3 linked regions of the Arabidopsis thaliana genome follow. The protein of the gene in region 3 interacts with the protein of the main gene of each other region in a pairwise test. Each region holds a gene or a part of one and is shown on either strand. Other genes may lie near its edges.

Evidence for each region. Proteins that work in one complex are often made in the same cells at the same time.
Region 1: the proteins of CDPK6 (region 3) and KAB1 interact in a protein complementation assay, tested with the Arabidopsis thaliana proteins (one study listed by BioGRID).
Region 2: the proteins of CDPK6 (region 3) and APX3 interact in a protein complementation assay, tested with the Arabidopsis thaliana proteins (one study listed by BioGRID).

Annotation. Positions count from the first base shown.
Region 1 is NC_003070.9:1,311,334-1,316,899, forward strand, and holds KAB1 (potassium channel beta subunit 1), read left to right. Parts: upstream 1-2,109; 5' UTR 2,110-2,328; coding exon 2,329-2,696; intron 2,697-3,130; coding exon 3,131-3,326; intron 3,327-3,446; coding exon 3,447-3,590; intron 3,591-3,707; coding exon 3,708-3,872; intron 3,873-3,973; coding exon 3,974-4,087; 3' UTR 4,088-4,490; downstream 4,491-5,566. UniProt on the Arabidopsis thaliana protein: Probable accessory potassium channel protein which modulates the activity of the pore-forming alpha subunit.
Region 2 is NC_003075.7:16,663,648-16,669,516, reverse strand, and holds APX3 (ascorbate peroxidase 3), read left to right. Parts: upstream 1-1,795; 5' UTR 1,796-1,975; coding exon 1,976-2,088; intron 2,089-2,239; coding exon 2,240-2,364; intron 2,365-2,528; coding exon 2,529-2,578; intron 2,579-3,124; coding exon 3,125-3,190; intron 3,191-3,278; coding exon 3,279-3,327; intron 3,328-3,440; coding exon 3,441-3,523; intron 3,524-3,606; coding exon 3,607-3,686; intron 3,687-3,830; coding exon 3,831-3,933; intron 3,934-4,315; coding exon 4,316-4,510; 3' UTR 4,511-4,793; downstream 4,794-5,869. Other genes in the region: BGAL11 (beta-galactosidase 11), read left to right, coding at 1-85, 157-266, 347-457, 540-644, 731-1,225, 1,308-1,442. UniProt on the Arabidopsis thaliana protein: Plays a key role in hydrogen peroxide removal.
Region 3 is NC_003075.7:12,323,570-12,329,394, reverse strand, and holds CDPK6 (calcium-dependent protein kinase 6), read left to right. Parts: upstream 1-1,743; 5' UTR 1,744-1,979; coding exon 1,980-2,389; intron 2,390-2,633; coding exon 2,634-2,920; intron 2,921-2,999; coding exon 3,000-3,143; intron 3,144-3,234; coding exon 3,235-3,387; intron 3,388-3,477; coding exon 3,478-3,593; intron 3,594-3,694; coding exon 3,695-3,862; intron 3,863-3,930; coding exon 3,931-4,058; intron 4,059-4,145; coding exon 4,146-4,245; intron 4,246-4,344; coding exon 4,345-4,428; 3' UTR 4,429-4,637; downstream 4,638-5,825. Other genes in the region: PPT1 (polyprenyltransferase 1), read left to right, coding at 54-123, 210-359, 468-533, 823-958, 1,050-1,146, 1,240-1,309; TRH1 (Potassium transporter family protein), read left to right, coding at 5,104-5,106, 5,539-5,782. UniProt on the Arabidopsis thaliana protein: May play a role in signal transduction pathways that involve calcium as a second messenger. Functions in abscisic acid (ABA) regulation of guard cell S-type anion- and Ca(2+)-permeable channels and stomatal closure.

The DNA.
Region 1 (5,566 bases), on a different chromosome or scaffold from region 3:
GAGATCTACCTAAGATACTGTTCTAAAATATATACGGTTTTCTTGCGCGATTAGAGATCAACATACGATTAGAGATCGGCGATTAAAGATTTGCTGGAAAATGACTCATATATATTTCCCAATCCTCGCAGATAAAATAAAACGGCACTTTACCGTTTTCTTTAGAAGTTAGTCGAAGACAAGTATTCTAAAAATTCAACAAAAACAAGAAACGAAAAGTAAACTACAAAATGTTAGAAAAGACTCACATGAAACACTCACTGTGCCTCTCTAATCAAATGGAAAAAAGTGGAGAGTTTAAACTTATAAGTATAGTATAGATGATAGAAATCTTCTAAAAACGATACCCGTGAACTAAGTTGATCCTGTGATCTTCATAATCCATACAATTTCAACAGAAAAATACTTTTTTGTGTTTTAAAAAATACTGCGAAAAGCTATATAAATAGTAAGATAAATTGGTTTAAATCCAAAGGTATGATAAAATTCTTTCTCAAAAACGTCATATTTGGTTAGTAGTACTCTTAATCGAGTGGTTCATCAAAATGTATCGGTTTATATATATCAGATCTTGAATAATTTGCAAAAACTCAAAATTTCTTACAACTAATAGCAATATATCATGTATCATATAGCTAGGTAAAAGTAAAATCATACGTTTTAAAAAAACTGTGGTAGGGAATTATATATGAAGCCGTTTATAATAGCATGCATGTGCTTAACATAGCAAAAAACCATATGATTAGTATCGGGGTACATGAAAGAAAAGGGCAGATAAAGCTAGATTAGGATTTGATAACGTACGAGAAAAAATCGAGAAAAAATGTCAACCCTTGGTGGGAGATTTAGGCGAATTTTCTAATCTATCTTCCTCTTATTTTTTTCTTGGTGGCCAATAAAACTAGAGTTTTTAGAGGGTAACGAATCCAAACCCCACACTCACATGCATCGAATCCAATCTGTTTCTCCAACCCATTCATTACCAAAACAGCAGATAAATTTTATAATTCATCAAGTCTACCAATATTAATTATCTTCTCATAATCATAAACTTGGTTCTCTTTATCCAATATTATCTTCTCATAATCATAAACTTGATTCTCAAACATTATTACTAAATCTATTTTTCTTTTCCCCTTCTAATATTCTTTACTTTAACAATACAAATACAACTCCTTTTAAGACTTTTTTTTATAGTAAAGAGTTATACATAACATGTTTGGTAACATAGTAAAATAGCTAATATAATAGACCTTTTCTAAAAATTGTCAAAATACAATAAGTGTAATTGGTGGATAACATGTCTACTTTAAAAAACTTTTTAGAGTATTAAAATTGTCGTCCCATAAACTATATAAATGATCATCATAAATGTATTACAATAACAGCATATCAAGACTTGACGGTTATCAGCCAAAATCATTAAATTTTGGAATTAGATGTTAATAATATACAAGTGTCATGTCGATCTCTTGTTTACATATCCAAACATCTCTATGTGTGACGTGAGTTACTACTTACTAGAATATGGAGTAAGATAATATGGGCTTCCTAAAAGGCCTATACAGAAACAAAGCCCAACAACCTAAAACCCAGTGTGAACGTGAAGGACTTGAAATATTCCAAAGTTGAGTGACTGATGAAACCTTTCACGTGACAGTGACTTGATTTTATTCGTATACGGGCAAAGTTCTTCCATTACTGCAAAAACTCTTCTATTAATGACCAACTTTTCATAAAAGAAAGTACACGTGTCTGTCATTAGATTGGTAGGTACATGGAGACTACACTAAAGTCATTCACATGGGATTCTTTGACCCATTAGGAGCCAAATAAAAATCTTCTCTTTTTAGTCTTTTTTTTCCATCTTAATTAAAATTACGAGATCACGCTTTCTTTTTTAGTACGAGGGATCAGCATCTTAATTAGATCACGAATTAAAATCACATATTTTATACAAATTGCGACTTAACCGGAATACCTTTAGACCGGATAAATTCTTACCAACAACCAATATCTGGAGGTTCAATATGGTTTGGTACCTAATTTTGTACCGGAAATTGCAGAAATCATCGTATTCGAGTGTTGGATTTGCTATGATATTACATTCAAAATTTTGGTACATATTGGTTGATCATGAAAACCGGAAAAGTAAAACCAAACCGGTAGCTTACCGTATTTTGCTAAGTGTTGTCACTTATTAAGATTGGTAATAGAGTACTTATTGTCTGTTCTTCTTCATTCATTACAACAAACTCTTTGAGACCTAAAGAGAGAGAGAGCGATAGTGAGATTTAGATCAACAGATTTGAATCGATTTCTGAAAACATGCAGTACAAGAATCTGGGGAAATCGGGTTTAAAAGTGAGCACGCTCTCGTTCGGAGCGTGGGTTACGTTCGGGAACCAGCTCGATGTGAAAGAAGCGAAATCGATTCTTCAGTGTTGTCGTGATCATGGAGTCAATTTCTTCGATAACGCTGAGGTTTACGCTAATGGTCGCGCTGAGGAGATTATGGGTCAAGCGATTCGTGAACTGGGTTGGCGTCGATCCGATATCGTCATCTCTACCAAGATCTTCTGGGGTGGTCCTGGTCCTAACGATAAGGGTTTATCTAGGAAACATATCGTTGAAGGCACTAAAGCTTCTCTCAAACGACTTGATATGGATTACGTTGATGTGCTCTATTGCCACAGGTGACCAATTTCAGATTTGTTTTTTTATTTAGTGATTTTATTTTTTTTCACTTGGTTCTTTGAAGATCTAGGGTTTTGATATGATCTGATTTGAGTGTAAGGTTTATCTGAATATTTCTGGTGTACTATGTTGTCTGCGCATTTAATTTTCTTACATGTGCTTGCCTTTAGTACAAATTGCTGTTTTTGAATTTATAAAATTTACAATTTGAATCCACTTATGATGTAGCTTAGTGCTGTATAGTGTGGATCTATTTGGTTTCCACTTTTATTTCATATCTGATAATTGGGATCTGCATTTTGCCATACATTGCACAAGATATTTTGGAAAAGTGGCATCTTTGCATTGATCTAAGTGTCACTAGATTCTTTGATTGACATATGTTTATTAAAAATGTTTCCTTTTTTTGTGTGAATTGGGTCATTTATTACAGGCCGGATGCTTCAACTCCTATCGAAGAGACTGTGAGGGCGATGAACTACGTGATTGATAAGGGTTGGGCCTTCTATTGGGGAACCAGTGAATGGTCAGCTCAACAAATTACGGAGGCATGGGGAGCTGCTGACCGGTTGGATTTGGTTGGTCCAATTGTCGAACAGCCAGAATACAACATGTTCGCTAGGCACAAAGTTTGTAATCTGACTCTCTTTTTCTTTAATTTACTTTCATGTTTGCGTCTTATCTTGTACAGTCTTAAGTTGTTGTAGTCTCGTGTTATGTAGCTCAAGTTATGCTCTTCTGTTATGTAGGTTGAGACAGAGTTTCTTCCTCTGTACACCAACCATGGTATAGGTCTCACTACCTGGAGCCCACTTGCATCTGGTGTGCTCACTGGTAAATACAACAAGGGAGCTATTCCCTCAGACAGCCGATTTGCATTGGAGAACTACAAAGTATTCCTTTTTTTTCCTTTTTCTTGTGTATTCTTGGTCATATTTGCTAAGACCTCAATCTGCTTCTGCATCTAACTAATACACTGGTACATGTCTTGGTTTTAATTTCTTTCGCAGAACCTTGCCAATAGATCACTTGTGGATGACGTGCTGAGGAAAGTTAGCGGTCTCAAACCCATTGCAGATGAGCTAGGTGTAACCTTGGCTCAGCTTGCAATCGCATGGTGTGCTTCAAATCCTAATGTGTCATCTGTTATCACTGGTGCCACAAGGGAGTCACAGGTTAGTTCTTGATCGCTTATAAAGCATTAACATAGCGAGTCTCGGTCTAGATTTGGATCCAAGATCTGAAAGATTTTGTTTCTTTTTTTGTACCTTGACAGATTCAAGAAAATATGAAAGCTGTTGATGTGATCCCATTGTTGACCCCTATTGTTCTGGACAAGATTGAGCAAGTGATACAGAGCAAACCAAAACGTCCTGAATCATATAGGTAAAACCAACATCCAAGATCTCTCTTCCCTATTCAATCGTTTACAAAAGAGTGTTGCAGGAAAAAGAAAACATTAGAAGAAGCTCTGTGATGTATGTTGTTGGATGTTGTCTCGTTTTCGCTTTGTTTGTTCTCTTTAGCAGCTTATGCATTTTTAAGACTCAGACAGAGAGAAAGAGAGACTAATGTTTTTTTTTAGTTTTTCTTGTTTCATCATTTAAAAAACGGTCTTATTTGTTACTTGTTAGTGCAACTTAAAGTTTGGTTCTTGTAGTTTGCCATGTCATGACGTCAATATATTGAATAGCTCATCAAACAATTCTGGTTATATCTTAATGTTGTGAAGATTTTAATTTAGTGCAAGGGGGTTGATATGTTATTAATAAAGATTTAATGGAGGTATTTAAAGCTCAACGTGCACAACATAATGTCTCAACTATATACCATGTTTTTAAAAACATACATGCATAGACATCCTACACAATCTTTTTAGGTAAGATCCCAATAAAAATCTAAATTTGGATGATCTGTTTTATTTGGTTAACAAAACTAAGAGATGAGTAAAGAAAATAAAAGAGTTTCTGGAATTGGCTAAAAAAAGAAAGAAATAGATAAAAACGTTCCCTCAAAAACCTCCACATGCAATTTATGAATTTACTATTTGAAAAAAATAAAAATAAGATAAGACAAAATTATTAATAGATTGAAGATGATTTCACCCATGATTCAAGTGCAACGAATAAAATCAAAAATAATTTCAAGAATAAGAAATAAAAAGAGAGAATTTCGAGAGAGAAAGGTTTAGTTTTTATTTTGTTTGGAGTTTGTCACCCACCCGCGTTATTTTGAGAGCGCTTCTCTGCGTCTCTCTTCTCTCTCTCTCTCTCGCAAATCAAAAACCTCAACTTTTGAAAAACTTCAATCTCTAGAAACATTCTTCTCTTTTACCCAAAAATCTCATCTTTTGTTTGTTTGTTATTCTTCTCCTTCATTGTTAATCTCATTGGCCATTTTTCCCTAGGTAATCAAATTCATCTAAAGCTCCAATTTTTCAATTCGATTACACCACATTCGGTGTCATCAATGATCTCGTTGCTTATATATGTATATACAATTGATTTGTGTGATCAACATTTGCAGAAAAAATTGATTTTGAAATTTGTTTCTCGTTGTTGTTGTTGTTGTTGTTATGCAGGGTAATTTCTGGTCTAATTCGTTTGAATGAGACTCTGGTCTTTGTTTGATTTGGTATGATCTTGTAGCAATATACCCTGAAGATGTTTGTTGGAGGTTTGCTGATAGACAAAATTGCTTGTGGCTTGTGAATCTCCATTACCTGTTCGCTGTATTTCCTCAAAGAGCGTAAGAGAATCCTGTATTTTCCTCTCAACATTTTTTGTTTTGAAATTTGGGGAGTTGAAGAACAGAAATTGGTTACTCAGAATCTGTGATACAAGAGATTGTGCAGAAGAAAGAATAAAGC
Region 2 (5,869 bases), 4.3 Mb from region 3:
CCTACCAAGAAAGGAGTTAAGACTTTTGTGAGGATTGCTAGTCTTGGACACGCGTTGCACGCTTGGCTTAACGGAGAATACCTTGGTAAGAATTTGTGCAAGAATGATCTACAAGTACTACAACAATGAGCTATAATAATGATATCTTCTTAACAGGAAGTGGACATGGAAGCCACGAAGAGAAGAGTTTTGTTTTCCAAAAACAGGTTACACTAAAAGCAGGAGAGAATCATCTTGTAATGCTTGGTGTTCTCACAGGATTCCCAGTAAGTAATTAACAAACATAATTCAATATCTATAGATGAAGATTTGTTTCGTTAATGTTTGGGATTTTTGGTTCTTACAGGACAGTGGATCTTACATGGAGCATAGATACACCGGTCCTCGTGGTATTTCCATCTTAGGATTGACTTCTGGAACACTTGATCTCACTGAGAGCAGCAAATGGGGAAACAAGGTTTATAAACAATTTCTCCGTTATTGTATTTCAACATTGAGTATGCATTTCCTTCTTCTGATCCGTTTTTTTCGATCATTAGATCGGTATGGAAGGTGAAAAACTTGGAATCCACACTGAGGAAGGTTTAAAGAAGGTCGAATGGAAAAAATTCACCGGAAAAGCACCAGGACTTACATGGTACCAGGTAAGAGACAAAAACAAAAATCAAACTATACAGAGTATGATTGGTATGATATGTAGAAGTTTTCTAAGGAATGTGAAACATTGCAGACATACTTTGATGCACCAGAGAGCGTAAGCGCAGCAACGATTCGCATGCATGGAATGGGAAAAGGGTTGATTTGGGTGAACGGAGAAGGCGTTGGAAGATATTGGCAATCGTTCTTGTCTCCATTAGGTCAACCTACACAAATAGAGTATCACATCCCTAGATCTTTCTTAAAGCCCAAGAAGAACCTTCTTGTTATCTTTGAGGAAGAGCCTAATGTGAAGCCTGAGCTTATGGACTTTGCCATCGTTAACAGAGACACTGTTTGTTCTTACGTTGGAGAAAACTACACTCCAAGTGTTAGACACTGGACTAGGAAGAAAGATCAAGTTCAAGCCATCACAGATAACGTGAGTCTCACGGCTACTCTTAAATGCTCAGGCACTAAGAAGATCGCAGCAGTTGAGTTCGCTAGCTTCGGAAACCCTATTGGTGTTTGTGGAAACTTCACACTTGGTACTTGTAATGCTCCTGTTTCAAAGCAAGTCATCGAGAAGGTAAAATATTATATCTTGTTTCTTCTTGCTATATAGTTTGTACCTTATGATAGGAGTAACCAATAAAAAAAATCTATTGCAGCACTGTTTGGGGAAAGCTGAATGTGTGATTCCGGTGAACAAGAGCACGTTTCAACAAGACAAGAAGGATTCATGTAAGAACGTTGTGAAGATGCTTGCCGTGCAAGTCAAGTGTGGTCGTGGGAAGAAGAACTGAAGAGTGTATATCATCACATTACATATGGTTCATGTATTGTGTTTAGTAGACCAATTTCAAAGTGTTGTGACATCGATTTTTGTCGTTCTGTTTGTATTTGATTTCTTCAATTTAACTCTAATACACGAGTAATATATTCGAATATGATCCAGAAAACATAAATCACCGGAAAAAATAATGGTTTATGTCCATTTTTATTCAATGTTTCCATTTTACAAAATTTAAGGAATGAACATGCACGCTGTTTAACAAATAACTAGCAAACTCGTGTGCCGTTTTTTGTGTAACAAAATGACATGCAAGTCACGTGCCAACAATCGTATCTAAAAAGCCAATGAGGTCCACCGAAAGATGTGGCTGAGGAAAACAGGAGATAACTGACACCGCCCATTCAAATCCCGTTTCTCATTGGGTGGTTTTATCTCTTTGGCCCAAATTTCGGTGTAACCAAAAAAAATCTTCACACACATCCTTGACCATTTTCTTGTTCATCGCTCTCTTTCTTCTTCACAAATCCTAAACGAGTAGGAGCTATGGCTGCACCGATTGTTGATGCGGAGTACTTGAAAGAGATCACTAAGGCTCGCCGTGAGCTCCGTTCTCTCATCGCGAACAAGAACTGTGCTCCTATCATGCTCCGATTGGCGTAAGTTTTCGATTTCCTTGGTTTTTCGTCGAGTTGACTGTTACAGATTTCGTTTATTCATGTGGAGATCGTTCGATTGTAGTTAGGCTGTAGAATCGATTTTGTTTGTTTTTGAATGTTGAAATGTTTGTATCATCTGGTTTTTATGAAGATGGCACGATGCTGGAACCTATGATGCTCAATCGAAGACCGGTGGACCTAATGGCTCTATCAGGAACGAAGAAGAGCACACTCATGGTGCCAACAGTGGTTTGAAGATCGCTCTCGATCTCTGTGGTAGGATTTTGATTTAGTTTTTGTAGATTCACTTTCTGGATAATTTCATGCGATGTATCCGTTTTATGTTGTGGTTTAAGAACACTGTTCAAAATAATTACATTATGCTTTTGGAAATGGACTTTGTATCGCTTAATTATGAGATCCTATCTTTGATGTTTCAGAGGGCGTGAAAGCTAAGCATCCCAAAATCACATACGCAGACCTGTATCAGGTGAGTTAAGGCTGTGAGAGAAATCTTTTTGATGTCCTTGTTGCTTTTTCTGCACATTTGTTTTTCAAAGTTCGCTGGAACTGTATTCGGCTTGTGTCATTACCTCGTCCCAGGTTTGAGCTTGTTGTTTAGGAGACTTAGTTGATAGTTGAGCAGCTGTGTAAATATGGTTTCAGTTGTAATTTGTTTCAGGAGATGTTACTGATTGTGATTTGGTTTACAAAAATCATAGATTGACTATGTTGTTCAACTAGAACTTTTATCTCTTGCAGTAATAGCTAAATTCAAGTAAAATATACACTGAATGAATTCAAACGACCAAGAAGGAAACTGTAATGTAATGTCAATCTGTTTCCATCCTAAGTCACATGTCTGTCGTCTGTACCTATAACCTGTCTCTACGACTGTTTGTATTGCCGTTTCTCCATTTTATATTTGGTCTTACAAGGTCGAGGCTTTATTTATGAATTCCCAATAGAAGTGTACCAGTTTAATGGCAATTAAGTTTTGGGTATGAATTATTTACTTTTAAGTGTTTTGTTTCAGCTTGCTGGTGTGGTAGCAGTTGAGGTTACTGGTGGACCTGACATCGTGTTCGTTCCCGGGAGAAAGGTATACTTTCTCATCTCTTGAGACATTATAACAGCTTATCAGTTTAACACTAAAGCAAACATAATTACTGTATGTTTCTTCTTGATAGGATTCAAATGTCTGCCCCAAGGAAGGAAGACTTCCTGATGCCAAACAAGGTACACTAAATTCTTGTATCAATTATAACAAACTTTTCATGTTTTCTACTGATAATCTTGTTTTGGAATTGGAAGATTTTTTCTATGAATTCACATTGTTTATATCTCTGTAGGTTTCCAACATCTCAGAGATGTCTTCTACCGCATGGGACTATCTGATAAGGATATTGTGGCACTCTCAGGGGGTCATACTCTGGTAAATTCATTGGTCACTTACTTAACTTCCGTTGTTTTTGAACAAATATGCTTGTTGTGCTTATGACCACATTGGGTGTTTAGGGAAGGGCTCACCCGGAGAGGTCAGGCTTTGATGGACCATGGACCCAAGAGCCGCTGAAGTTTGACAACTCCTACTTCGTGTAATTTTCATTTCTTTATCCTCAGAGATTTTCTTTGTGCATTTTTTTAATCTTTTCTGTTTGTGTCTCCAAGAAATAAAAGCAGCAAACAGATACTTTTTTACATGATCGGTTATCCATGATTATTTACTGTTTTGGTACCAGGGAACTGCTGAAAGGAGAATCAGAGGGCTTGTTGAAACTTCCAACTGACAAGACCTTATTGGAAGACCCGGAGTTCCGTCGTCTTGTTGAGCTTTATGCAAAGGTATAATATACTGGAGATCTTCTCTGCCTCTTTGCCATTTGTTTCTTGCGTTGCTATAATAACCATTGGAACATAACTCGATTTCCTTTATTGGTTTCACATTTTCACTGAATCCACAAGCACACACACTGAATCACAAACCAAATTATCTAGGGTTTTGTTCTAGAGAACCCCACGGATCCTTATCGCCTTTATAGTTGCTGATGTTGCAAAATGATAAAATGAACACTCTTACTACTATCAGTGAGAACTGTAATATTAGCTTTTTGTTAGAACCGTAAACAGAAATTCCTATGGTTCTTTATGATTTCCTTGCTTAATTAAGTTTCAATAAGATAAGAAAGTGTTGTTATGTGTTGACAAGTTCAGTTTGTGGTGGCAGGATGAAGATGCATTCTTCAGAGACTACGCGGAATCGCACAAGAAACTCTCTGAGCTTGGTTTCAACCCAAACTCCTCAGCAGGCAAAGCAGTTGCAGACAGCACGATTCTGGCACAGAGTGCGTTCGGGGTTGCAGTTGCTGCTGCGGTTGTGGCATTTGGTTACTTTTACGAGATCCGGAAGAGGATGAAGTAAACGAAATAGGAAGTAAAACACGAAGCAACGATGCTCTTATTTGGGTATTAAAGAAACTATTAATCGTCTATCGAATCTATTTTGCTGCTACAAGATTCTAAACTCTTTGAATCCACGATTCTACTGTTTAGTAGTAAAAAAGTTAAAAAGTCAATATTTTGGGTCCGTGATTCATTTTTGCGATATTTGTTCATTGCAATGTTCGTTTCACTTATTAATTAGTACCAAAGAAAAAGAAAAAAGAAAGAAACAAAGATCGGTCGATATCTACCAAAGTGGGGACATAACCTGAAACTTGACCTAACCTGGTAGTGGTAGGTTTAGTTAGGTAGGAAACTTCTACTAAGAAATTAAAATTAAATTTTTTTTTGCTTTCGTATTTTCATTAAAGAAGATAATATATGATGTTGGTTGCCAGTTACCTAAATATAGGCTCGGGATGACATGTAATGGACGCAAAGTAGCAAATAGCTTTATTCAAGTTGACATAAAAGAATTGTTGTTACGTAAAAGAAGTGTACTGTATTTTAACAGAATGTGAAATCACCTAACAATAACTTATATAAGAAACTAAAAGAAAGAAACGCATGTCTTCTAAATTTGGCAAGAACGAAGGTTTTGTAACTTGTAAGTAGTTTAAATAAATAAACCATACATTTTTAATAATTAGGAAATATATGTTACATGTTGCACTTTGTATACATTCTAAAAGTCGTATAATGTACCTATTTTTTTAAGATTTGTTTGGTGTGTGTGTAGATAACAAATCACATGTCAATTCTATCCCATTTCTATTTTCTTCGTTATTAAATATACAAATATGTCGGTAGGAGTTCAGAGTAAATGTACACCATGAAATCTACCAAACTCTTTTAAGATTGTCTTTCAGGTATCAAACAAACTTTCACCAATAAAGCTTTTTCCCTTTTCCAAATAAAGAACTCCAAACAAGAATAAAAACCACAATCATTATTCGATATGTTTTTATCGATACTTATTTCAAAATATCCCCTTACCTATTTACAAAAGCATTTCACGAATGTTTTTCTTAGAGTCGTCGTATTTTCATATATACTGATATTAGCTTAATTAGCTCGTGATGACAGCAAAATTCTTGAATATTTTGTAGGCCATGGTCTTTGTAACTTGTCAAGAACATAGATACGTCGGATAAATTCATAGATATCAATTCAAATGATAAGCTAGCTTACGAAAAGCGTTTCTCAAGAAACTATGATTTTTTTCTAAGAATTAGTTGGTCGTTACGATAAATAAGAAACCTTGAATTGATGGAAAAGAAGATAAGGAATTAATTAAGAGATTGGTAAAATGGTAGTTGAGAAAGTAAAAAGGTCACGT
Region 3 (5,825 bases):
TTGTGATCAAATTCTTTTCTACTTGAGCTCATTTCAGTATGTATATTCTGCAGCCGTGTTTTAGGGGCTTCATCTTTGTTACTTGTCTTTTCCTACCCACTTATGAAGAGGTTTACATTTTGGGTAATTTAAATCTATTCTGGCTTCTCAAAGTTAGACATTATATATTTTCTGATTTTCTTATGATTGATTCGTTTTTATAATTGCAGCCTCAAGCCTTTTTAGGTTTGACCATAAACTGGGGAGCATTGTTAGGATGGACTGCAGTTAAAGGAAGCATAGCACCATCTATTGTACTCCCTCTCTATCTCTCCGGAGTCTGCTGGACCCTTGTTTATGATACTATTTATGCACATCAGGTATATTCACTTTTTATTTTTTAGCTTCAAAATCTATTTGATTATGACCAGTAGCAAAGTAGTTAATCTCAATGTGTGCATATTGCTTGCTTTGTTTTCTTTTTCTAGCTTCACCACCACAGATTTCTTTTTCAGCTTTTGTTTCATGTCTCATGCAAATGCATCCATTTCGATGTTCGACTTTTGTCAATCATAAAGAAGAAAATTACCCTGATCTCCCACCTTTTCCATCTGATTTCTATACTTTAAGTGAAGAGTTAGCCCCATAAAAGTCTTCCCGTTTGCAACAGAAGTGAGAAAAGAAAGTTACCTTTGTGGCCCATTGAAAATGAAATAGTATATGCCACAAGCTACGAACCCAAAATTTCAGCTCAAGTTCAGTTTTTATGCAAGTAATTTTGAGATATTCTAGGTTAAATCATTTTTTTTCCATGGACTAATGTCTAATATATTGTGTCTCCAGGACAAAGAAGATGATGTAAAAGTTGGTGTTAAGTCAACAGCCCTTAGATTCGGTGATAATACAAAGCTTTGGTTAACTGGATTTGGCACAGCATCCATAGGTTTTCTTGCACTTTCTGGATTCAGTGCAGATCTCGGTACTCAATAAACTTTACAAGGACTCATTTGTGATTCCTAATTCCATTTACTGTCTTTTGATTCTTTTTGTTTCTCGCTCTAATGATTAAGGGTGGCAATATTACGCATCACTGGCCGCTGCATCAGGACAGTTAGGATGGCAAATAGGGACAGCTGACTTATCATCTGGTGCTGACTGCAGTAGAAAGTATGAAAATTTGGGTTTATCTTTTGTACTCTTTCACAATCCAATTATGTGATTTGCCTTGGAAAACCTAATAGTGTTTTTATATCTGTACAGATTTGTGTCGAACAAGTGGTTTGGTGCTATTATATTTAGTGGAGTTGTACTTGGAAGAAGTTTTCAATAAAGACTCTCTCTCTGTCAACGAATGAGGATGAAGCTGTAGTGTGAGGAACCTATATATGAAGAATTGAAGTAGACTTTTGAGACACACTGTAAGTGAAACAGAGGACATGGTCTTGCTACAAAGTGGGTCTCCTTCAGGATTGAAATGATCAAGGAGCCATTGCCAGAAAAGCTGAAACTTAACTCTTTTAGATTAGTGACTAGTTACTACTGGTTCTTGTAAAAGAAGCTATTGTTGTTGTTTGGGATCCATGTCTTTTCTTCCAGGAGGTAGTTTGGCTGTATGTATACAATGATCATGACCTTCTGGTCAAACAAGAGGCTTTACTTTTGGCTTTTATAGTTGACATACGCAATATCATTGATTTTGTAACCTAAAGGATGTTAATAACTTTTCCTTTTTCAATCTCAAATTGCAAAAGATTAACATTGAATTAGCCGTGTGATTGATTGGAGAAGTGGAAACAACTAATATGCAGAAGATTTCCACATCCACTAATTTATCTTCCAATGGGACAAATACTTTTGTTTATACGCGGTTCAACTACGTACCAATAAAAACACGCCACGTGGTCATCGTGTCTGATCTCAGACATTAAAAAGCCATAAGAATCGGAGATACAATCTTTCTCTCTCGATTGACTTTATTGACTGAGAGAAAGCTTTTGACAATGGGCCACAGACACAGCAAGTCCAAATCCTCCGATCCGCCACCGTCCTCCTCCTCCTCTTCCTCCGGCAACGTAGTCCACCATGTTAAACCTGCCGGAGAACGCCGCGGATCATCCGGTTCCGGAACCGTCGGATCGTCAGGCTCCGGAACAGGCGGATCTCGTTCCACCACATCTACTCAGCAGAATGGTCGGATCTTAGGTCGGCCGATGGAGGAAGTACGGAGAACCTATGAGTTTGGTCGTGAGCTTGGTCGTGGCCAGTTTGGTGTCACGTACCTCGTAACTCACAAAGAGACGAAACAACAGGTCGCTTGCAAGTCAATCCCTACGCGCCGCCTTGTTCACAAAGACGACATTGAAGATGTTCGCCGTGAAGTCCAGATTATGCACCATCTCAGCGGTCACCGGTAAATCTCTTTTTTTGTATCTCACTGGAAAATGCTTCTTTGACATTTTCCGAAATCGAATCTGAAACGCCTTTTGTTGGAATATTGGTGAATATTTAGACATAGGATTCGTTTTCTATATTAATGAATGGTTTGCATCATATGTGGATGAAAAGTTTGGTGGTCCTATGTTAAACTCTTGAAAAAGTTTCCCTTTTTGCATATTTATATTTACCTGAGTTTCAAATTGGTGAGTTGATTATAGGAACATAGTGGACTTGAAGGGAGCCTACGAGGACAGACACTCTGTGAATCTGATAATGGAGTTGTGTGAAGGAGGGGAATTGTTCGATAGGATCATTTCTAAAGGTCTTTACTCAGAGAGAGCTGCTGCGGATTTGTGTAGGCAGATGGTGATGGTTGTGCATAGTTGTCATTCTATGGGTGTAATGCACCGAGACTTGAAGCCCGAAAACTTTCTCTTTCTTAGTAAAGATGAGAACTCACCATTGAAAGCTACAGACTTTGGTCTCTCTGTCTTCTTCAAGCCAGGTTTGAACAGCCTCTATCCTTCCCTATTTGATTTCTATAGACAATTTATCCCTCTAATGAAGTTGATCCATTAATGCAGGTGATAAGTTTAAGGATCTTGTTGGAAGTGCATACTATGTTGCCCCAGAAGTTCTAAAACGGAACTATGGACCAGAGGCTGATATCTGGAGTGCTGGTGTGATTCTATACATCCTTCTCAGTGGTGTTCCGCCTTTCTGGGGAGGTATTGTCTTGATCTTATTTGAGAAGAGAATTTGGTTTCACTGTTTAAATGTTGGACTGGAATGTATAGTCACGTTCTTTCTGTTGTGCAGAAAATGAAACGGGGATCTTTGATGCCATTCTTCAAGGGCAACTTGATTTTTCAGCTGATCCATGGCCAGCACTATCAGATGGTGCCAAAGATCTTGTGAGGAAAATGTTAAAATATGACCCTAAAGATCGGCTTACAGCTGCGGAAGTGCTAAGTAAGACCCCTTTATAACATGTTTTGATGAATAAATTGATGAAAACACCTTCTTTTATCCAATTTTAATAACGTTTTGATACATACGCAGATCATCCGTGGATTAGAGAAGATGGGGAGGCATCAGACAAACCGCTTGACAATGCGGTGTTATCCAGGATGAAACAATTCCGGGCGATGAACAAACTAAAAAAAATGGCCCTGAAGGTAATTAAAACACTGATTGAAACAGTCTTACCATCACTATTGTAGTTTATGTAGTCTTCTTGTTCTAAAGCCAATCTTTGGTTTTCGTTTTGCAATTTCAGGTTATCGCTGAGAACCTTTCTGAAGAAGAAATCATTGGTCTTAAAGAGATGTTCAAATCTCTAGACACTGATAACAATGGAATAGTCACCTTGGAGGAATTGAGAACCGGTCTCCCAAAACTTGGTTCAAAGATCTCTGAAGCTGAAATAAGGCAGTTAATGGAAGCAGTAAGTCTATCACAATCCACTACTTTGATGTCAAAGCAATAATGCTTATGATGCTTTGTTTCTTTTAGGCTGATATGGATGGAGATGGATCAATTGATTACTTGGAGTTTATATCAGCCACAATGCATATGAACAGAATCGAACGTGAGGATCACTTGTACACCGCATTCCAGTTCTTTGACAATGACAACAGCGGGTAAAACATTGTTCTTTAGCTCTCTATTTCTTTCTTTAACAAGCTATAAATAAAGTCTCACTCTTTGATCTTGATTTGTGATATTAGCTACATAACAATGGAAGAGCTAGAGCTAGCCATGAAGAAATACAACATGGGTGATGATAAATCCATCAAAGAGATCATTGCTGAAGTAGACACCGATCGTGTAAGTATACGTAAATCTCTGGTTTCGTCCAATTCATACATCTGTAAGTATACGTGTAAGTTTAACACTCTCTTCTCATCTTTGTATTCGAATCTTTAGGACGGAAAAATCAACTACGAAGAATTTGTAGCGATGATGAAGAAGGGAAATCCAGAATTGGTGCCAAACCGACGCAGAATGTGAGAGATCTTTTGATGTTGTTTGTTTGTTTTTGGTTATCACTTTACTCAAACTTTGTGTTTCTGTTACAATCAATTATTTTGTTTCCTGCAATCTCTTTTTATCAACACAACATAAAAAATACTTTGAGATCAGAAAGCCATTTGCAGGTTTGGTTAATGACTTATGAGAGATTCAATATATAATAATTACAGGTTGATTCTTGCATGATTTGAAGCTGAAATTCACTTAAAAAATTATAGAATGATAATCTTAACCCTTACAAACAAATTTGAGATTATATCTAATCAAGGCAATAAAAAAATAAGCAAGGTGCAGTAGGAGGGATTAGAAGTTTCAAATCCGATTTTTATACATGAAAAATGACGAAATCTAATAATCTTGGTGACATTTTCTCACAGAGAAATCGGACAACTAAAATGAGTAAAAAAAATTAAAAGAACGAATAAAAAATCAACTGAGATATATATAAAAAAAAAACTGGAAGAAGAAGAAGGACCGCGAGCTTTGGATCGAATTTGTTAAATTTTTCTTCTCTCGATAATAAAAACAACAAATGATCGTTGATCGTTTTTCTCTAGATTCGATTCCGATTCCAAAGAACTAGTCTCCGGCGTGTAATCTCTGATCGTTGAAGATCCAAGCTACGCCGCATCTTACTCGCCGGCGGCTTGAATCATGGTATGTCGCTCCCTTCTCTCGACCGATACGTCGGAAATCTTAAACCCCTAGATTCCTTATTGCTACTCCTGCGGAATTACAATTGTTGTACTGTGATGATGTGAATAGAAATGGTGAGAGAATTCTGAAAATGAATGATGCCAATATTCATTGAATTTAGCTTCTGATTCTAAATTTTTCAATCAGGATATTCAAATCCAACTCAATATCACTCTTGAAAGTAAAATTACTGTTAGCGATTCGTTTTAATGCATCTCTGAGCTTATGTTTTGATTTGTAAGCTCTCGAAGTTTAAGCTTCTTGTGATAGCTTATGAGCCATTCATTGATAATCTATCCAAACGTTAAAATGTTCGGCAATATCTGTTTATATATGTGTGTAGTTTTGACCAGCGTGGTGTTATAAGTTTGTTGTTGTCTTCTATTGAATCAGGCTGATAGGAGAAACAGGTGTAACCAGATCCTCCTTTTAGCATACCAGAGTTTTGGCTTAGTGTTTGGAGATTTGAGTATTTCTCCTCTCTATGTGTATAAATGTACATTCTACGGAGGATTGAGACATCACCAAACAGAAGATACGATATTTGGCGCGTTTTCTTTGATATTTTGGACCATCACTCTCCTTTCACTCATCAAGTACATGGTTTTTGTGTTAAGTGCAGATGACAATGGTGAAGGTATGTGCATCGGTTGCTAATTGAGTCTATTTGTTTTCTTCTG